4 linked regions of the Arabidopsis thaliana genome follow. The protein of the gene in region 2 interacts with the protein of the main gene of each other region in a pairwise test. Each region holds a gene or a part of one and is shown on either strand. Other genes may lie near its edges.

The links.
Region 1: the proteins of WAVH2 (region 2) and AT3G48550 interact in a two-hybrid assay, tested with the Arabidopsis thaliana proteins (one large-scale study listed by BioGRID).
Region 3: the proteins of WAVH2 (region 2) and HB-3 interact in a two-hybrid assay, tested with the Arabidopsis thaliana proteins (one large-scale study listed by BioGRID).
Region 4: the proteins of WAVH2 (region 2) and MEE18 interact in a two-hybrid assay, tested with the Arabidopsis thaliana proteins (one large-scale study listed by BioGRID).

Annotation. Positions count from the first base shown.
Region 1 is NC_003074.8:17,991,438-17,995,659, reverse strand, and holds AT3G48550 (SHOOT GRAVITROPISM-like protein), read right to left. Parts: upstream 1,842-4,222; 5' UTR 1,613-1,841; coding exon 1,266-1,612; intron 1,195-1,265; coding exon 1,065-1,194; 3' UTR 881-1,064; downstream 1-880. Other genes in the region: AT3G48540 (Cytidine/deoxycytidylate deaminase family protein), read left to right, coding at 3,645-3,835, 3,967-4,042.
Region 2 is NC_003076.8:26,259,174-26,265,225, forward strand, and holds WAVH2 (Zinc finger (C3HC4-type RING finger) family protein), read left to right. Parts: upstream 1-1,962; 5' UTR 1,963-2,298; coding exon 2,299-2,700; intron 2,701-2,779; coding exon 2,780-4,531; 3' UTR 4,532-4,997; downstream 4,998-6,052. UniProt on the Arabidopsis thaliana protein: Probable E3 ubiquitin-protein ligase involved in the regulation of root growth. Acts as a positive regulator of root gravitropism.
Region 3 is NC_003071.7:14,340,499-14,346,146, forward strand, and holds HB-3 (homeobox-3), read right to left. Parts: upstream 3,281-5,648; 5' UTR 3,100-3,280; coding exon 2,973-3,099; intron 2,888-2,972; coding exon 2,066-2,887; intron 1,757-2,065; coding exon 1,539-1,756; 3' UTR 1,147-1,538; coding exon of another isoform or gene 1,141-1,146; 3' UTR 924-1,140; downstream 1-923. UniProt on the Arabidopsis thaliana protein: Homeodomain transcription factor required for meristem growth and early development. Promotes cell proliferation and prevents premature differentiation in meristematic tissues during postembryonic development.
Region 4 is NC_003071.7:14,395,140-14,401,587, forward strand, and holds MEE18 (maternal effect embryo arrest 18), read right to left. Parts: upstream 4,137-6,448; coding exon 3,857-4,136; intron 3,633-3,856; coding exon 3,516-3,632; intron 3,407-3,515; coding exon 3,274-3,406; intron 3,162-3,273; coding exon of another isoform or gene 3,147-3,161; coding exon 3,050-3,146; intron 2,909-3,049; coding exon 2,865-2,908; intron 2,778-2,864; coding exon 2,621-2,777; intron 2,393-2,620; coding exon 2,321-2,392; intron 2,179-2,320; coding exon 2,095-2,178; intron 1,924-2,094; coding exon 1,822-1,923; intron 1,734-1,821; coding exon 1,686-1,733; intron 1,618-1,685; coding exon 1,492-1,617; coding exon of another isoform or gene 1,405-1,491; coding exon 1,144-1,404; downstream 1-1,143. Other genes in the region: AT2G34100 (nonsense-mediated mRNA decay-like protein), read right to left, coding at 4,566-4,874, 5,004-5,276, 5,424-5,536, 5,664-5,916, 6,427-6,448.

The sequences.
Region 1 (4,222 bases), on a different chromosome or scaffold from region 2:
TGTTTACATATATTCTATATATTGTCATAATCGTTAATATAGTTCATATGTATGTATCATTTTATAGAGAATATGACGACCAACCGAATAGATCAGCCGAGTTGATTTACGTATTTAGGGTATGATCGTAAACTCGGCATTTTTTAGGATTTAAATTTGAACATATTATCTGTAGTACACGATTGATTTAAACCATAGTCTACGAAGTACATAATTAAAATTAATCCTCTCTCTTATCAAAAATATTCATACATTTATCAAGTTTCTGTAAGTAAATGTACGTATATGCACAAACACAAAATAATAGTACACACATATATACTATTTAAAGCGACCTAAGAGATTAAAGTAGATGAAATAAGCATGTTAATGCAATAATTATACCCATCATCTCCATGCATATGTCTTTACGTGTGTTTGATTATTTGTTTTCAGAATAATCATCAATTTTCATTGAACGAACGTTTTCAAAGATGATTACAACAAATCAAATGAATCACATATGGGTCAGCCAATTATATTCAAATCATGCAATCCGTCCATTCTCTTTTTTATTTTCCACGTTCCTCGATTGTGAATGTCACTCCATCTCTTGTTACTTTAACATCAAGCATTTAACTAACTAATCACTGTAATTACTAATTAGGTTTTGTTCTGTTGGTTAATAAATGTCATAGTTAGATTTTAATACTCCATATAGTATATAATAGCTGATCGTTGAGGAATTGACATAGCTAATGTTGACAACGTAACTAATGAATTTTATCCCTAATTCCCAAGTAATTCACTAAATGGTATTCATGATTTTTTTTTTTTTTTTTTTTGGTTGGCAAAGAAGAGGAAGTAAAGTAGCTGGAAACATAAATCATCTCTTATCTGAGCATATTGTTTTCCTTCGATTTCAAGAAAATAAAAAGGAAGGACTATATAATATTACCAAACTCGAAAATGAAAACAAATTAAATTTAACTACAAAATAAAATTTAAATTAAACCAACATTCTCTTTCTCTTCAAATATCCATTTATAATAACAATAATTAAGAGAAACAAATAAATACTTATGTTATGGCCTAAACCTTTGTCTGCAAGAGTGGCAAGTGATCTCCAAGCAAGCCGTATCGATCTTCGTCATTGATCTCTCCTTCAATCTCTCAGCTCTCTCCACTTCTTCCCTTGCCTTCTGCCACATCACCCTGGTTACAATTCAAAACCGTTAACCAAACCAAAACCAGAATTATTACTTGATCGAGCTAGCTTTAACTACCTTGCACGAGCAAACTCAGACTGAGCCATCTCCATCTCACGGCGAGTCAACTCTCTAACCCTCTCGGCGTAAGCCTTCTCTATAGCCGCAAGCCTTATCTGCTCCGCGGCTTGCCACTTCAACGCCTCCACACCACCGTTTGGAAGCTCCTCCGCTGTTGAGATCGAGCTGAGGCTGATGGAGAGTTTGAGGTCAAGATCGTGGTGGATCATGGAGGAGGAACGGTGGTGATTGTTGTGATGGTCGGTTGTTATAACTGTTGGTCGGTGTTTCCTTACCGGAGATTCGGTAGACGGTGGAGAAGGTAAAAGCTGAAGCTCTTTGTGATGATCTTGTTGTTCAGCCATTTTTGTATTCTTGTTTGTTTTTTTTGGCTAAAAGGCTGCACTTCTCAATAAGTGTGGGGATGGCAATTACCAATCACTTTATATGTAAGCTGCTTCGTGTCTGTGCACATATACTATCTACTTGAAATTACACTTATAACCCCTTATTCGAATATGCATATCTTTTTGGGTTATTTGATCATTGGGTTTTTATATAATCCTCAAAGTTAACAAACGACCACCGTACCGCCATTATGTGAATTTGTTGTCAAGTGTGGTTCCATGATAAGACGAAATGATGTGATTGTACAACAATCAACTAAAGTTAAAAATAGGTTAGATATATAAGATTTTTTAAGTTTTGTCGAGTTACAAAATAAATAGTCACCAATAACCAAATTTTTAGAATGTTTTATAATGATGAACATGTTATTTGCGTTTATGTCGAAATAATATAAACATGTAAACGCAAACGTGATTAATGTTGTTTTTTACGTTAAAGCTACTATATATTATGACATAACTTGCAATTGCAAAATTTCATTGTTTTTTTTTTTTCCAAAACATAAGAGGAGCATACTTGTAAAGTGAAAATAATGGAGGGTAGGTTAGTAAAACGAAGATAGAAATAGGAAGAAAAAAAATAGTTAAGGTGTAGAGAAAATCTCCGTTGAAGAAAAGACAGAGAAGATGGGATATAAACGGATCACGTTATTGAAGCATGAGAGGCTTTTTAAAGAAACCCTTTTCACTTTTTCATCATCTATCTCATTTTATATGTTTTTGTAACTAATAACTTTGCGATTGTATATTTGTTAATTAACGTATCCTTTTAAAAAAATGAAAATGTGGATGTGGGTTGTGTAATAATTGGTGATGCACGTGGCTTAATGGATTCAAAAGCTAGCAACTAGCTCACTTACTATGTGCTTAGTCCGTATATATTAGTAATTTAATCAAATTCTTCTCATATAACAGTTTATATTTTATTTATATATGTGATTTAAATAGTTGAAAGATTATAACAGATTTATAGGATTGAGAATTCGGAAACTAGGGTTTGAGTCTTTCCGCTGCAATCTCAATTACATTAATTAGTATAGACGCTCTAAATGACAAAAAAAAACAAAATTCCACAGGTTTAATAGCTAATCTGAATTGTGTTGTGATCTACGATTGCCTGGTCGTTATGTTTTAAATACATTTTGTTATTTATAGATAAAAATGTACGTAATGCTTTCAATGTTTTTTTTTTAAAGTTATTAACTTGTTTCATGTGTTTCATAGTTTCATGTACGTTTCCAATTATTTGTTATTTTTCAAACTTTGTTCGTTTCCACTTTATGTTTTCTTAATCTATCCAGTTCATATTACATTACATTAGACAAAAGAAAACTAAATAGCGAAATAAAACTAAAACTTATATAGGTATACACAACCGTGCCTACCAATAAAAAAGTCAGAGACGGTATCTTAAAAGCGCAAAATAAGAATATAGAACTATAGTTATAAAAAAAAATTTTGAAAGGTAATGTCAATTTTTTCACAAGATCATTAACCAAAATTTCAAAATCAATCTTTTATAACCTTTTTGTGAATTGAAAAGATTGTCAAAACATCAACGATACAAAAAAGTTTAAATCCATAGTTAATAGAAATATAGAAGAGATGGTTGAGATATCAAATCTGGACCGGTATAGTTTTTTTTATCCAAAAAATATATTGGTAGCACTCAATACTAAAAAAAATAAAAAAAAATAACAAATAATAAAATAAATGATTCAATAACACATAATTTTTGAAAAAAATGAAATTAACCAAAATCTGTTAATTGCCATAATTTTCTGCTGAGAAGAGAAAGCACAATCAGTAAACCAATCTAGTTATTAACCGAAACCTAAACCAACAATCATATGAACCGAATGATAGACCTGCCTTAACCGGAATGGCGGGGATTTTCACTCTCTTATAGTTTCCCGCTACATTTAATAGTGAAGAGAGAAGAGCAAAGATTTTTCTGGATAAATCTGTTTTATCGATTTTGAAGCTCCCCATGAACTCTCGAGATCTTACACTCGTCTCTACATCTGCAATCTTCGGTGCTTTGATTTCAGCTCTAGCATTTCGCTTCTTCTCATCAAACCCTAAAAACCCCAAATCCCGAAAATTCACTTCCACCGAAATCTCTGCAATTTCCAGAAAATTCCCTGCTCTAGATCCTTTCAGTCCTTTGAAACGAAATGGGTTTGTCATAATTCCATTCAATATATCTAATTTCGTTATTCCATAGCTAAAGTTTCCAACTTTCAGAAAATCCCAAGTTTAGAATCTGCTTTGATTTTTAATGGTAGAATTTTGTTTGAATTGTTGTGAAGGTACTTATCATGGGATGATTATTTCATGGCGATTGCATTCCTTTCTGCAGAACGATCCAAGGATCCTAACAGGCAGGTAAATTTTGTTGTTTGTGATATTTGAACAACATGAGTATCCAAACAGTTATATATGTGTAAGCTGCTCAAAATGTATTATGTTCATGATACTATATAGTTTTCTATCATCAAAGTGGAGGTATTCTTTCGGTGTTAAGATATCGCACTGGCTGATTTTGTAATGAATGGATGCATTGGT
Region 2 (6,052 bases):
CATCATCTCCTAAACTCACACTCATGTCTGGTATAACTCTCTCCGACCCTACTGAGTATAGAAAGCTTGTTGGAAGTTTGCAGTATCTTGCATTCACAAGACTTGATATTGCATATGCTGTAAACCGCCTCTCTCAGTTTATGCACAGACCAACCAATGATCATTGGCAAGCTGCAAAACGAGTTCTTAGATATTTGGCTGGAACTACGACTCACGACATTTTCTTTGCTGCTCAAAACGAGCTCTCCCTTCATGCCTTTTCAGATGCAGATTGGGCCGGAGACTCAGAAGATTGCGTTTCAACAAATGCTTACATCGTTTACCTCGGGAAAAATCCAATCTCATGGACTGCCAAGAAACAAAAGAGCGTTGCAAGGTCTTCAACAGAAGCTGAATATCGATCGGTGGCAAATACTGCTTGTGAAATCCAGTGGATATGCAGCCTTCTCACGGAGCTTGGGATCACACTTCCCAAACCGCCTGTGGTCTATTGTGATAATGTGGGTGCTACTTTCCTTTGCGCAAACCCGGTTTTCCATTCCAGGATGAAGCACATAGCCATAGACTATCACTTTATTCGTGGACAAGTTCAGCAAGGCATTCTTCGTGTGGCTCACGTCAACACTAGAGACCAACTCGCTGATGCATTAACAAAACCGCTTCCTCGAAATCACTTCACGGAACTTCGAGACAAGATTGGAGTGTGCATAGCCCCTCCATCTTGAGGGGGCGTGTTAAGGATACATAGGATCATCTCTCTTTAATATCATAATATTCCTCTGTCTCCTTTATGGAACATTCTATATTTGTACAACCCTAGTGTAACCTCCTCTGTACTTGTATATATACTTGTGTAAAGCTATTCGTATAATATAAGTCATTACATTCTTAACAAGATTAACTAACTAATATTTTCATTTTTTGGTTGATAATCAATGATTCCATGGCATGCACGCACGAAGTCATGTGTTGTCTCTACAATGGCAGCCACTTAAAAAACCTACCAAACCATTTACAAATGCTTAACTACAATTTTGTTTAGCAGCCCCCTTATCATATATGTACCCACCCATTTATTGTTTCATTCATTCATGTGGCTCTTCAGCATAACTGCAAGATACTAGAGGCCACAAATTGCAGTAATTTGTATTTTGGAGTTAATACCTTTGATTTAGGACACTAATTATCTCGAGCACTTGATCAGCCAATCTAAAAGGTTGTCAAATCAAAATAATAGAAGTGTCGAAATCAAAATCAGACCAAAACCATCAATTTTTTTGCAATAGCAAGAAGAATTCAAAATTTGCTGGACCTGGACCAGTCTAATCTTTATGTCATATCATTAGCTCTTGTCGTCACCATATATTATAAATCATTTTGTTGGTAAATAAATGAAAAAAAAAAACTTTTCGACCTTTCTCCATCAAAGACCTTTTACAAAATTCCAAACCCAAAACTTTAGGTTAAATTCCTCGCTCCAGCCAGTATGTAATTACGTAAGCAACTATCAATTAAATATACAACTCAATTCACAATCATGAAGATAACTCGAATACAACGTGTTTTAGTATCATTTATATTTCGTAAGGAAAATAAGCTTACCGTTTATTGCTCAGACTGTAACGTCACGTGCCCACATGTTTGACCTTACACTCCATCACAATCTGCATTTCGAAGAATCCGATAAGATTGGAAATGATTTATATAATCGAACCACATTGTGGAACATTCAAGAGGAATCCACATTAGACAATCTAATAAACTGTTTAATATTTTGAAAAGAAAGATTTTACATGCAAATGGAAAACAAAGATCTCCGCGTCTCAAGTTATTTGAAATCTCATTTTGCATATGGTCGGTTATTACCGTTGACTTTTAACTTTATCGTCCATCCCAATGAAACAACACTTGAAATATGTAAAAAAAATAGCAAAATTGACCCAAAAAAAAGAAGGACTTAACGGATCAGTGATTATTTTCTTCGAGGCAAAACAATTACATGCAAATGGAAACAAAAGCCAATTCACACGCATAAAAGTCACAATTTTTACCTTATAATATTCCTACAACTTAAAATAACATAAAAAAAAATGTCTTTATCGAAACATCACTAAAGAAAAAGAAATCTCTCTATAGTCTTTATCTTAGTATTTAATTTCTCCATCTTCCTTATGATCCATTATGCCCAAAGTCCTTCTTCTTCTTCTCTATAATTACTTCCACAAATAGAAGAAGAAGAAGAAGAAGAATAATATAGAAAAAAAGAGAGCTTCTCTTCTTATTTCTTTCTCACAGGAAATGGTGTTTGGTTGGAGAAAAGCGTTTTGCACTTCCGTTTCAAGTAATCAAGATAAACCTCAACAACATTCATCATTACACACTACTGATCCTCCAATTCCCACACCAAGATTCCGATCAAAGTTTGGTTTTTTATCCAACCCTTCAACTCCTCGTCTCCGATCACGCGGCGGAAGCGGCACTGGATGCCGCTCCTCAGCTTCCACATCAGTCACTATCCCATCTCTTCCAACTAGTCCCAAACTCCATTGCAGGACTACGAGCAATGCTACTCCAAGGACTAGTAACAGCTCAAGTCCCAAGTTTTTCTCTAACCCTTCTTCTCCTAAATCATCATCTTCTTCTTCCTCTCAAGGCGGCGGCGGCGTCTCTCTCCTCCGTGCCACGCTTCTTCTCAACAAGGTAGTTACTTTTGATTCAATCAAGTTCTTAATTTGAAAGACATAATCTAAAGCTCCGTTTTGTGTGTGTGTGGATGCAGAGTAATAGTAGTAGATGTGCGATTTGTTTGCAGAGAGTGAATTCAAATCAAAGCAACTCGACGGCGGCAATTTTCACGGCGGAGTGTTCACATTCGTTTCACCTTTCTTGCGTCAATGGATTAGAAGACAAGCGTTGTCCGTTTTGCTCTGCCGCATGGAATCACGCGCCAAAGTCGAATTATCCGGCTGTTAATAATAACTTCGGATCCGACCCGATTAGACGACCCGAGATCCGAGAGATCAAAACGGGGAAGTCACTGAGAGTGTACAACGACGATGAGCCGTTAGCTTATTCGCCGGTTTCTCTTGCTCAGATCAACACTATACATGAATCAGACGAAAACGACGACGTTGAAGATGACGATGACTTCCCCGGATTCTTCCGAGATTCTTCGATTACGTCTGATATGGTTCCTTCAATCTCAGGAAATCTGGAGGTTAAGTTGCTGCCGGAATCTGCCGTTGTGGAAACCGGGAAAAAGAAGGAGACACACGTCGTCATCATGAAACTAAAAGCGTCTCCGTCGCCGTCGTCCATCACCGATGCGATTAAGGCGCGAAGACCATCGATAGATCTGGTAACGGTTCTCGATTTAAGCAACGGCGGTGCTAATTTGCAAACGGTTAAACACGCGATGAGATCGGTGATCTCTCTTCTCCGAGAAATGGATCGTTTATCGATCGTCGTTTTCTCGACGGGGTCAAAACGGTTAATGCCGTTACGACGAATGACGGCGAAAGGAAGACGATCGGCGCGGCGAATGGTCGACGCACTCGGCGGAATGGAAACCACCGGCGGAGTTGGAATGAGCGTTAACGACGCGTTGAAGAAAGCGGTTAAAGTCGTTGAAGATCGGCGGGAGAAGAATCCGTCAACGAGCATCTTTGTTTTATCGGACGGTCAAGATCAACCGGAGGCAGTTTTGAAAGCTAAACTAAACGCAACGCGCATTCCGTTCGTCGTGTCTACCACGCGTTTCTCTCGTCCGGAGATCCCGGTTCATTCCGTTTACATTGCTTCTCCTGGAGCGTTGCTTCACGCGCCGCTACGAGACGCGTTCACCGAAAGAATCGCTTCGTTGCTCAACGTGACTCTCCATAACGTGAAGCTAAATCTCAGTTTGGTCAACGGATCTCATTTGACTGAGATTTCATCGGTTTACTCTTTAACCGGTCGACTCGAGAATTTCGGATCCGGTTCTGTCATCCAAGTCGGAGATTTGTTTGCGGAGGAGGAGAGAGAGTTTCTCGTTGAGCTCAAAGTGCCGACTTCGTCGAGTGGTTCCCACCAAGTAATGTCCGTACAGTCGTCGATCGTTGACCAAATGACACATCAGCCAATGACATGTCCTAAAGAAAAACGATTTTTGATCCCACGGCCACAATCCGTCAGATATGTATCTTCAAGCATCGAACGGCTGAGAAATTTACACTCCATGTGCCGCGCTGTAGCGGATTCACGCCGGCTTATCGAGCGTGAGGATTTATCCGGAGCGTATCAGGTTCTAACGACGGCTCGGTCCAATGCGTCTCATTCGGATGATAGTTTAAGGAGTTTGGAGGTTGAGCTAAATGAACTTAGCCGGATTAAACCGAGAAATAGTATATTAAACCGAACTGAAGATAAACCGGAGCAGCTTACCCCTACTTCGGCTTGGAGAGCCGCCGAGAAATTAGCTAAAGTGGCTATTATGAGGAAGCATTTAAATCGAGTCAGCGATATGCACGGCTTGGAAAACGCCAGATTTTAATTTTAATTTCCCTTTTTTTCGAAAATTCGATTTCAATGATTTTTGAATATATAATGGTACATAATTTATATAAGGAGGATAAGCAATAATTTAGTAAGGTATAAATAATAGAAGTATGATTATTCAGAAAAAGACCCACATAGGTGCATGATAGCGACAAGCAGTAGCCGACGGGTGTGGCCTTTTGTATTGCAGAGAGATTGAGACCCTACATTAGAAGGAATTAATTGGTCTTTTAGCATTTTTATCTTCTTCTTCCTTTTTGTAATCTTCAAAAACTCCAAATTAATGACTGAATAGTTAAAAAAAGTTGTAGATCAAATAAATGAAGTCTGCTTTTTTTGTGTACTATATAGAATTAAAAGTTGAGGTATAGTGGATTAGAGAGTGTGCTTGTAATGCTGGACTTCAAAATCAAAAGTTAAGTTTATATTATCATATGCCGTTTAACTTAAGAGGATCTATAATATATTATATCTTTCCAAATGAATGATCATGATTAGTCATGTGATCATCATTATAGCCTATTTTGTTATAGAAGGCACCGGGTTTGAATGATTTGAATAGTGCGTGGGGATTGTCTTTGTTGGTTGTTGGTGAATGGTTTGGTGGGTGCACCGTGGTAGAAACCAGGTCATGCGCCGTTGCAAAGCTTTCTTCTCGCTTAAATTCATTCATTTTATATCATTAAGACATTTACTAATTATATGTAGCTAGCGCCAAGTTGCAATTTGTTTTGAATGCAATGATTTTGTATACTTTTAAAATGGATGAAATGATTAACTATTGTCAAAGGTCCACTTCTCGATGTGATTCACTAAAATGATCAGTGGCAGAAGAATCTCGAACTATATATATGGTCAAATCATAACTAAAAAAACTAAGCTATTATTTTTTCACAAAAAAAAAAACTAAGCTATCATTCATCACGCAGTTACATATTGCATATGGACAATGTTAATGTCAACTAATGAAAGGGAAAGAATCTCGAACTATATATGGTCAAACGGTTTGACGCACCATACTTAAAAAAATACTAATCAAGGTGCATTACATTCATTGATGTTACAATTACTTGTACTAATGAACTCTGTGAAAATCAGAATAACCCGGTATAACACACTATTTGGAGTTATAATGGCTGATCCAACTTTTGGGAGATTTTGTCACAGTTGGGCTACAGTTTGTGCAATCGGCAACTGTAAAGCCCATTGAGAATTCCAAAAATAATGTAAACCAATTAATAAAGCATTTACCTTTGGCGCCTGGGACGAAAATAAGATACCGAAAACAACCTTTACTCTACAAACATAGGTCCATGTAAAATAGGCTTAGGCCCAAATAATGTAACTCTAAAACAAATCTATGAATCTATTAATCACCAAAGTTATCTTTTACATAATGTAATGGGTTATTTAAGGAGAGATTTAATAATTTCGAAAATGTTTGGTCAACTCCGAAAAGGTGAACGTGTTAATTAAAAAGTCCTGGTACTGCGGCAGAGAGAGAGATTAGCCCATA
Region 3 (5,648 bases), on a different chromosome or scaffold from region 2:
CGTTTTATTCTCTTTAATTCCCTTGAATACTCCATAAACATTGCAGCAAGAAAAAGAAAAAAAATATTACATTGCAACAAGGTAAAATATTAGTATCGAATCGAGAGTTAAAACTTCAAAGCAAAGGATCTTATCAACTGACTGTCAAAAACTCTGTTTCCTAACTTTGATACGTTACTTATTTATTTTATAAAAAAAATTTGTTTTCTTTTGATGAAAAAATATTCAGATTATATATTAACTCTGAATTCAGATTATACAAAAATTCATAACGTGGCTATGAATATCAACTATTGTTAATTAGCATAATTTCAATATAAATGAATTGTTTTGTTTTTGGCATTACAAATTACTTAATTGATTCCATGCATTGTGTAGTTCAAAGCAATATTTACTAATTAATTTTATCTAAAATAACTGAAACTATTTTTTTCGTACTATCATCATTCGACGCATTTTTATATTAAAAGAACTAAATCATCTTTGAAATCGAATTTTCATACATTTTTAATTTTAAAGGGTAATATATTTGATAGAGTACATATTTATTTATTGATTTTTTATATAAAAATGAGTGAACCGTCTATAATTTATAATTAATAATTATATTAGTGTAATAATGCATTTCTGAAGAGGGGATGGATTAGGTGTAGTATAATAATTATATTAATGTAACGTTTTAATCCCCGGGATTAAAGTGAAATATCACCTCACACGTGAACTGTAGTCAAAGTTCCCTACTTCCCGCATGTAAACCTTACATCACAGTCTAAACACTAAACATAACGCATGACCTAATTCACTTTCACACTGGGTGATGTGATGCTTCTACATTACTCATCCCCATATTAGCGCATTGTTTAACAATTCCACATATATAATCAATTTTTCAAGAAGAAGAAACAGAACAACATTATAGATTTCTTTAGATAATAATGAAACACACATCATATATTATTGGTCAACAATTTAACGAGAGAGTTTTGTGAATGTTGTCCGAAACTCATACATAAACACCGTCACAACAGGTAACTGAAACCAATACTTTATAAAATCTTAACATTTAAGCCTACGTACGAGAGATGGTGAAAGAAAGAGACAGGTCTTAATTTCTTCTTCAAACTCAAATCTCCCACACGACTAGATCTGCAAAAGCAGAAAAGAGACCTCGAAATTAAATCACATAAACAATTATATACACACACATGCAGGCACATCCTCCGAAATATGGTAGTATTAGAATTTATACTACAAAAGTCAAAATACACGAAGGCCAAAAAAAGAAAAAAAACCCCAATGAATGCTCTAAAGAAGCGCAAGGTGTGTGTGTGTAATTAAATTAGATTGAGTCAACATTGTTGACCTAAGCCAAACAACATGTCTCTCGCATGCATTTATCCATTTTAGATCCCAATGAAGAAATAAACTAGTACTAATATAGATGTATAAACTATAATTATATAGACATTAAATAAGTATTCATTTTACCATAGTTTATTTAACCGATAGAGTAGTATCTAGCTATAGTGGAACCTTAATTAGTATAACAAAGGAAAATAGAGAGGAAACAAAACCAGATAGTACGAGGCTCCGTGTTGAAGAGGGTGAAGAGCGACGCCATATTCATCGGTGACAATGGGCTGACCCGCGGAATTAATCAGAACAACCTCTTCCCCAAATGCATCCCTCACATTGAACGGTCCTGAGCTCACTTCAAGCTCCATTTCATTGATGAAAACTCTTATTCGTGCGTCCGCTGCATCCATATTTAGCCATTGTTATCCCATTATTTCATGTTAGTATAATGACTATAACAATCTATATAAAACAAAATTGTAAAGCTCACACAATCTATTTTCAAGAAAGAGAGAGAGGGTATATAGAAATAAAGAATCATCTAAAGGCTACTAAACATGAAGGTTTTAAAAAAAGATTTGTATGGATCAATGTGTCCCTTACATTGTTGACACAAAATTAATGTATCTCTACGATTGAGTAAAATTTCAACATGTATATAAGTAATCTATAACTTAAAAAGGGTGATAACTTTATATATTAACATTACCTTGAACTTGAAGCTGGTCCGAAGTTGATGGGACAGTAGCGAGAGAATGCGAAGTAGTAATAGTGGTGGCAGTAGAAGTAGTGGGAGGAATATGAAGCATGATGTTATTGTTGTTGTTGTTGTTGTTGTAAGAAGCTATTTGATGATTAGTGGTAGCGTAACAAATCTGAGTCTGTGGCTGTTGCAACATCTTCATCCTCATTTCTTCAACTTCTTTCTCACTCAAGTGTTGTTGATGATGAGTTCCATAACTCACACTACCGTTCATGATCTCACTCAGCAGGAGTCCGGTACACGTTGGAGCCGGTTTTTGTTGCTCAATCATATCACCGGAGAGAAACCCTAATTGGGATGAGACGGTGATACCTTCAAACCCTCCGACAGTGGAGACCGGGAAGAGAAACGCCGGTTCCGGTGGAAACATCCCCATCATTTGACTACCACCCAAAGAGAGATTAGTGTTGTTCTTGTTCTTGCTTTTTCGGGGTTTGGTGGATTTGGAGGAGGAAGAGGAGGAGGAAGAGGAAGAGGAAGCCGAAGGTTGCGGCTGCGGCTGCGGTTGCGTTTGAGGGAGAGAGTGTTTGGAGTGGTTGTGGAGGAGGCGGAGTTTGTGTTTACTACGGGACTTACGGTTTTGGAACCAGTAGAAGACGTTAGCATCACCGACTTGGCCGTATTCTTGAAGCTGAGCCCTAATCCTCCTGATCTCCTCTCTTGGAGGATTCACCATCCCGGAGTTAAAGATTGCTTCAAGTATCCGAATCTGCTCTGGCTTTGGATTCCATCTTGGTTTTGGCTCTGGACTCCTCTCCACTTCACATCCTAAAAAATTCACAATCTCATCAGATAAGAGTTCTTTAAAACAAAATTTAGTTTTGAATTGGTAAATATGTAGAAGTAGAAGGACCTGAAGAGAAAGGAGAAGATCGGTGAGAAGCAGAAGGCAAGAGAGGAGAGTTGATGTCATGTTGCCATTGATGGGGATGAGGTTTGGACTTGAACATGCTTGGCCAGTGTCTATTCGAAGAAGCCATAACTAATTAACTCGATCCGCAGAACACAGATGTATGTGTATGCATATGATGATGATTGATGTTGAATGATGATGTGATGATGATGTGATGTGTCAAAAAGAGAGGAGGAAGAGACAGGGAACAGAATGGCTAAATGGAAAGATAAATAAAAATGTGAATAGGGCAAAAGGGTTACGACCTCTTTCTCTCCCTCTTATAGCCTCTCTTCACCTACCCAACCTGTTTTCATATATTCATTCATCTCTTTTACATAAATTTAATTTAAAGTCTCACCCATATTTCTATACACCATTTCTCTTTCTCTCTATATCTATGTATCTATCTATGATGTATAGATGTGTATCTATATCATTATGTGTATATGTTTAGTAAAGACAAAAAAAACTATCACTACTTCTCTTGTTTAGGGAATCAAATGAATTAGAGAAGTAGGCTAAATCCTATTAACAGAAATGTTATAAAAGAAAATAGGAACACTGTTTTCATTACGTTTTATTATTAACTACTTCAGTCAAACAGTATGATTTAGTTGCATACTTGCATTAAATAGTTTTGAACAAAAAAAATTGCATTAAAAAGTAAATTTATTAATTCTATAGAAGGTCTTTGATCGCTTATATATAGATTATGAGGAGCACTTTGACATTTTAGATTTGAATCCAGTTTTGCTTGTCATGGTTCAATTATGATAAAATAAAAACTGTTTTAGGGGTTAGTTCCCTTTAGTGTCATCTAGTGGGAAAATGTGTATATCACCAATGGAAATTCAAAAGGCATTATTACAGTATTAAAAAAAGAGTGACAAGGTTAGTATTTAAGTACGTCAAAATGTGCTAGTCGACGAGTAGCCTATATTGCTATAACGTTAAATCACTGATGGATTGACCAATACTTCAATAACAAATAGAAGAAGACAATTTTGGAAATCTTAAATTTCTTCAACAGTCATTTGATTAGTTGTGTATCATGAGCGTTTCTTTTAGCCTCGCAAACAAATAGAAGACCGCATGCATTCACACTGTCTAATAAACCACTTTGAGAGTCCGAAGGAGCTTCACTGAATTAGCCCCAAACCATATCAATCTCACTCACAAATGACCAAATTGATAGCATACCCTGTGGCGAATGCTTAATACCATTAAATAATTTTATCATTTGTGTTTTTCATATATGTACAAAAAAATCCAAAATCCATATGAAAATAACTGATAGAGAGACTAGTTATATGTGCCCAAAAAAAAAAAAAAAGAGAGAGACTAGTTATATAGATTTATAGAGTGGGTACTGAATTATTTAAAAATATTCAATATTTATTATAAGAAATTATTTTAGCAATTTTAAAAAGTTGCCATACAAAGTCATCTGTAATTTTACAAGGGTATTTGAAGCGCACTCCAAAAATTTCTGTTTACTTTAGGTTTATACTAATAGACTCTGAATTCATATTACTAAATTAAAAAATTTAATTAGTAGAGCAATACAGATTTTCTGTTACTACATCCATATTAGAGTTTGCATGGTATTTCATTCGTTTGTTTTGTTATTCACATTCCTAATATCAATTTCTGAGATAGAAAACAGTAAGAGACAGGAAGAAACTCAAAGTGATCATTAATGCAACCCCATGCCTCACTTCCTTACACTTCTTGCATTAAACTCCAAACTGCTTCTGCAGTTCAAACGTACGAACACAAATTTCTTCAGAAATTGAAACAACAGATTCTTTGAAAGTGATCCATGTTTGGTTCTGAACTAGGATTTTTTCTCCTTTTTATTATTTTCTCCTCTGACATCTCAAAAAAAAACATTAATTAAAACAAGACAGAAAGATTGTAAATTTTCTCACATTTTATGTTTATTTATTAACTATAACAAGATGGGTTTTTATTATTTGCTTGTATTACAAAAAAATAAAATCATGTAGTTTCTGGATTTTCAGTCTGTGCAGAAGAGGATTCTCTCGGTCACCTTCGGGGCATCGGCCTTAAATTCGGATGGGGAGCAAATGGTTTGTTTGGACGTAGGAATAGTCATAATCAAATTAGCAAACACGATTTTAGGAGTTTTGTGATGTAATAGTACGGAAAAAAGAAACATGTATTAATGGGGAAAATACGAAATTTTAAGAGGTCAGGATGGGTGGTGGTGTATAGTAATTGCAAAGAAATTAAGGTCATTTTTTTTTGGATTGACTCGAGGGTCTTTGTTGATGATCGTTCCCTTTAATAACGTATTAATAATTCTTCAGTTTCTTTTGAAATATTAAGATTCTTTTCATCTGCATTTATTTCAAATATAAACTAAATGGAGCCTTTTTTATCAGACAAAAAAAAAAAACTAAATGTGAGCTTTATTTAAAAGACTAACTATTGAATGGGACTATGGGACAATGCTAAACAGTCTTAGTTTATAAATCATAACTTTGTGATAGGATGCAAATAAATCAAAACAAAATGTGGCATCTCCATTTAACACAAGCGGTTATCAGTGTTAACTAGATCTGTAAGTAACATTGCAAAGTCTCGTTCCAAGGACTGGTCCAAGATTAT
Region 4 (6,448 bases), on a different chromosome or scaffold from region 2:
TAATGATATACACCACGTTTGGGGTTACTTGATCGTCGATTGTTTTGTTGTAATAACTAAAGTAACCTTTTTCAGTTTTTGGTTGGTTATGTAATAATTTAAAGTTCTATAACCCGTCGAAACACGAATTCATGATCTTGGTCCAATTTTATTTCAAGAAATCTCACCAAGTAAGCTATTTACCCCATATATTTATAGTTTTCTTTTTATTATTCAGAGATCACACTTTATGAATTCCTTTTTGGTTAGGATCCTCGTAGTATGTAAACACTTAAGGTTTAGTCAAAAATAGCATAGTTTATGTTAAATTATGAAAGTAGTACACTTTTTTCTTTTGGCGTGTACTTTACATATTTTTGTAATAAATTCTGTTAAAAAGTTGATTTGTTTGTCATTTCCGCAACGAATGACTAGAAACAAAGTGTCTAAAACAATACATATTATATGTCTGCCCAATCACTGAATGGAGGAGCAATGAAGCATGGGCTCAAATGGATGCGTCATTGTCATCATACAAGTTTAATATTTTGGTATATTTATGTCTCTCTACTTGACTTACAAGAGTCACGTACTGCTACTTGTGAGCATTATAAAATTATGATCACTGTGTCAAAAACTTGTAAAGAAATCTTCGGTTAAATTCATCTTTCAACAATTAACATTGGTTATTGAACAAGTGATTCTTTTCTAAACTTAACTGAAAGGGCCAACAAAGTTGTATGGGCTTAGGGCCCTACCAATCTCAGGGCACGCTCTGTTTGTTGCTGGCATCATTTGCTTTGCTTTAATACATCTTTTTAGTAAAAGCACACATGTTAATACACAGTGAGAAACAAAGATGCCTTTGCTTGTTTGGGAATGAAAAGCACACATAGTTATGTAGAAATGTCATCATTTGGTTTCATTGGAAAGTGAACTGTATTCATCTGTACAGTAGTTATATGTAAAACGTGTAAGAAAAAACATATGATACAACTCCGAGAGAAAGAGAGGCGTTTGTCTTTCCTTAGCTAAGAATATGATCATTGACCATTCATAACCTTTCATATCAATTCACTAAAGGATCAAACTAAACAGTAACAAAAAAATCATGGTCCCAATTGCGTAGAAGAAGAAACTAGCTCTGGCCTAAAGAATCACTATTTACTCCACCAAACCGGCCAGTGTGTTTATCAGTGAGCTCGGGTTGAACAAGATACCGTGCTTCGGGTCACCAACACTCTCCACGACTCTCTGCAATAGAGTGGAGGTAACAGTGAGTGTTTGTTGTGCACATAAACTTGGAAACAAGTGAAGGAAAGAGATACTGACAACATCATATATCCCTTGTTCAGACAATTGTTTGAGATCTACTGCTATTTCTCCATCTTTCGGGACCAAGAGAGTGTTGATGTAATATCCAGGCTGCACACAAAAATGATGTTCTTGGATATCGATATATGTCTGATAAAGAAGACATCGAAAGAGTGTGGATTGTGAAGAACCACTCACGGGATTCTTGAGCCGAATATTAGTATCTCCATGAGTTCTGTTGAGAGCGTCAGCGATAGCAGTCACAAAGCAGGAAGCGGTGAACCTGCTTGTTTCTCGGTCTTGGCTACCGTTCAAAAGAAGTACCTGTGACAGAGAGAAGAAATCAGATTGATTTTTACCATCATTAGTATTTTTGACAAGCTTCAGCATACCTTACGACATGACCTGGAAGAGATAATCTCCCCAACACCAAGCAAAACCTGATGAACAGAAAGACTTGTCTATAACAGTTATCACAAATTTAGTAATCCACCATTTTTGCACAACATATTTATTGCGGGTGCTAACCAGTGATGGGCAAATGGAAGTGAACAGGGATCCCATTGCGTAAACGATACAGTCCACGCTTCTCAACTGCTCTAGGACAGTTGGGTTAACTGGTGGGAAGACCTGTTTAATGGACATAACACCAAACATTTGCAATGTCAAATACACCGTGCAAAACAAAGAAATGAAGTAGAGAACTAAAACGATAGAGTTTCTTAAAGGGAATCAGAATCATTAGAGATAACATTGAAGATATCTAGGACATTCTGTATATATAAAAGCAGAGTAGTTAACCTCATGAAGCAGATTATTGCCTTCACTTGACATGTAAAACACTCTCTTTATCTTCGATGGGAGAGCGGAAGTAGAACAATGTCTCTACTAGAAACATAGAAAGACAATGTAAGAAAATAAATTCTACATATGGCAAAATTGACATTTTTAATTGATACAAGTATATAGTAAACTTAGTTCTCGTGATCATCAAAAAACACCAATGTAAGATATTCAAATAGAACACCTTGTCAACTGTCTGCGTAGTCCCAGTGGTCGGGTGAGAAATTTCGTTCTGTCCGCGTATTATAGTCCCATCCTACAAATTAAAGTCATAACTTGTTAGTTTGCGAACAAATTTGCCACCTCAATCTTGCCATTAATTGTTTAAACCAAGAAGATGGCCAGTGAAGCGACAGCCAAGATTTATGTATAGAAAGCGATACTTCTTCCCGCAAATAATGATGCTTTAGCTGCGATATTTGTGGACAAGAATGGGATTCCATAAGCTAGCTGCGGGAATTCAAATAGAGATCAAGCTTCATACCTGTAATTCACATCCTAGTGTTAGCCTATCATTGGTTGATATCACTGGGAGGACCAAACTGTCACAAGGAATCTCTGAAACACGTGAAAACAGAAAAATTGCAGCATCTAAAGACTGGAAAAATATCCTTGCTCCTGCAAAGAAGAAGTTCCCAATGCTACAAGAAGGAAACAATCATAAGTGAGTTACTAAACAGGCGAACAAAATAATACACAGTTGAAGCCGAGAAAAAGATCTTCAATACCTTCCATTACTGAAGCAAAATCTCTCATTAGGTCGCCTATGAATCTGTATCATAAGAAACATGTCAAGTAAGAAATGACAGAATATTAAGGTAAAGAAAAATTTAAACAATCAAGAAGTTGGAACTTGGAACTGATCAAATATGAAACCAATAAAAACATGTTTCTCTGTATCAGTTAACATTACCTCATTCTGAAAGTATATCAAGAAAGCGCGAATTGTTTCACTGTAGGGTCTTGATACACCATCCCACAGAGAATGATTACCTTCTACAATATCGTACCTGTCAAAGTTCCAACTCAGCCAATGGTATATTACACAATATTGTCCACCACAGAACCTTAAATGTGTAGCTTATAGAGTAGACCACACTATGTGCATAAAGAAAACATAGTCATTGGATAAATTACCAATCTTTCTTGGCCTGATGTGCATCAATAGGTAAGCGATGGCCAAGCAACCGCCTAACAGCAAGTGCCTCTGAAGTACTCTCATCAGACAGCCTTAAACACCTCGAACGTATATCACCAACCGCTGGCCCTCCTATAGCAACGGAGATATTGAGCTTAGATTACTTCTGGTAAAAACTTAAAGAAGCTAAAACATATATAATCTGGGTCTTGTAGCAATGTTAGTGAGTTCTAAAACTTACCGAGAACACGAACAATCTCAGCAGTACTTCCACCATCATCAGAGACAGGAAGAACATGAGCGACTCGTGTTGTTAACTTCTTCAACTCTTCAACCACACCATTAAATCCAGTACCACCTTCATAGCAACAAATATAACGTTTTCCAAAATTCAGAGCAAAAGAAAACTACCTAAACCAATGTAAGACAATGATAAAGCTTTGCACTTTGCAACAAACAGAATTAACAAATGTCAAATTCTAAGTAATTGGTCAAGATCTAACACAAATAGACGATCTTATCGACATAAAAATCGTAACTTTAGGGAGACCCACGAAACAAGGAAGAGGAAGAAAGTGGAACCTGAGAAGACGAGGAGAGAAGGAGGCTCCACGGTGGAGGAGGAGAGACATTCAGCCATGAGAGAAGTGGAATTGTAGTAATGTGGCTTCTTGCTGCGGAAGAGAGAATGAAGAGACAAAGGAAGAGATGGTGATTTATAATGGACTAGACCCCCAAAATAGCAAATCTCCGCCATTACCGAACTGAAACAGAGAATGATGAAACATCTCACCACTACCCTTTTCGTTTTTGTCGATTTTCCAAGCCTTTGGATTTTTCTTTTTTCGCAATGAGAGTGCATAATAAAGCCATAAAAGATATTTATTACGCGTTAGAAAAGAAAATAATCACGGTACTGGTGGTTTTGTTGGTTTTCTACTTGGTTTGGTCCAATAAACCAAAACTAGTGTTAAATCGATTTTGGTGGGATTGTGGTTTTGCATTAGTGTTTGAGCTCAAAATACATGTATAGACCAAATGTCGATGATTCCACTGGAAAGGTACCTTAAGATAATCTAAAAGATCACATGATCGAATGGCAAAGAAGACAAACAATAATGATAAGAAAAAGTACACTATTTGGTATTAAACCCCAAGTTAATAGAGTGACATAAGCCTTGTGAAAAACGAATGAAACACTCAAAAAACTACACAAATAAATATCATTAAAGCCGATGTAAAGTATAAACTCGATCAAATCACACACATTTTTTGCCAAAAGATCAGAGCCCTAAGCACTCTTCACATAAACCCAATCACCATCTGGTAAAAGGGTCTCGACCTCACCAAATTCCGTATTCTTCGCAATTGTCTCTCGCCTCACATTCACAAATCCTTGTGATACGTCATCTTCATCGTCATGAAGCACTTTCCTTAGCTCGCTCATTCTCTGCTCGCGCGACATCTCCATCGCTTCTTCAGAGTGATATTCCCCAGCTTCATCATCCTCCTCATCGCATGATTCTTCATCTTCTTCGTCGGAAGACGTGTCAACATTATATAACTGCTGATAACCACCTTTCCACGTCAAACTTGAACCCTAATCACAAATACAATAACCAAATCAGCAACTGATTAAAATAACAACATTTCATAGATGATCATTTTCCTAGTTTTTGTATGAGCATAGGTATAAAAATGTGAAAAAAACTGCTACACAAAAACTTACACTATCTTTTTCATTACGATGATCGTAGGAACTAGGGGTATAATTCGTCGCTGATCCCAAATCAAGCTCCGACATGTTTTCGGAATATTTAAAAACTGTAGTATCCGCTTCTTCATCTTCATCATCAAAATCCTCATTCCATGAATCATCACTATCTTCGGAGAAAATGTCAACATCTTCTTCATCGTCATTATCCTCTTCTTCTTCTTCATCGAAAGACAAGTAGCCACTCTTTAACAGCTGATAGTCACAGTTCCACTTCAAACTCGATTCCTATATCAGAAAGATTCAGTCAGAGACAATAAACAAAGTAGCAACTAATTAAATTTACCAAAATTCCGTTATACAAAATCCATGGTGATTTACTTATTCTAGTTAATGAGCTTTGATATGAAAATGGGAAAAGTGCTTCAAACTTACACTATTCTCTTCATCATAATCATCATCATCAATACCATCAGCACCATCACCATAATTTTCATAACAATCATCACCACCTTGTGCTTGAGTGAAACTCTCTGGGAATTTTGAAGCTGCCAAGAAAATCAATATGATACTTGTCAGTCAAGAAACCAAAAAAGTGCTGATGTTCTAGCTACTTTAATTTAATGGTATTTACAATAACTATAATGTAATATATACTATATATAAAACACATACCACGCATAGCCCAGTGTTGGCTCGGTTTTTCTTTGACCTCAGCAATGCACATAGACCAGTGTTGAAGCGGTTTTTCTTTTACGTCAGAAAGGCACATATACCAGTGTTGAATCGGTCTTTCTTTGACCTCAGAGACAGGATATTGAGAGGAATGTTCATCACCAGATCCACCATTATCTGGCTGTCCGGTCAAGTCTTGGTTAGGCTGGTCGTCAAATATGTCTTTGGTTAACTCTGTCCAGAGTTCAATACTCTGAAAATATAGAAAAGAAAAACCAAATCAAAGAAAAGTTGTCATGTAAACGGTAAGTTTTGACAATCGAAGCCTGTTTTATGGAAAGATCTAACTATCATGAATAGTTCTGGTTTTCAAAAGGATTAGACCGTGATCAATTAGGTTTCCATAAATCTAATAAAATATCTGATGGAACTGAAGCTGTCTTTCTATGATCTCTTGGTCTTTCTATTTTCAGATCTTATGCAAAACTTTTTTTTATACTCTTCATCGTTTAAGAAAAAAAAAAATCTAAAAGAACCTTGGAAACCTTAATTCTGTTTTAACTACTAAATACACTAATAACTAAAATACATTATCTACATCAATTCGTAGCATATACTTTGCGTTGATGATGATGATGATGATGATGATAAAAGAACATAGGTTTAGTCTTTTAGCCACACAACATAGACAGAACCATAAACTCTTGAATTTTAGGGCATAAACATCAAATAAAGATCAAACCAGAAGAACAAGAGTACTTACCTTCTGTATCGATTCGTCAACC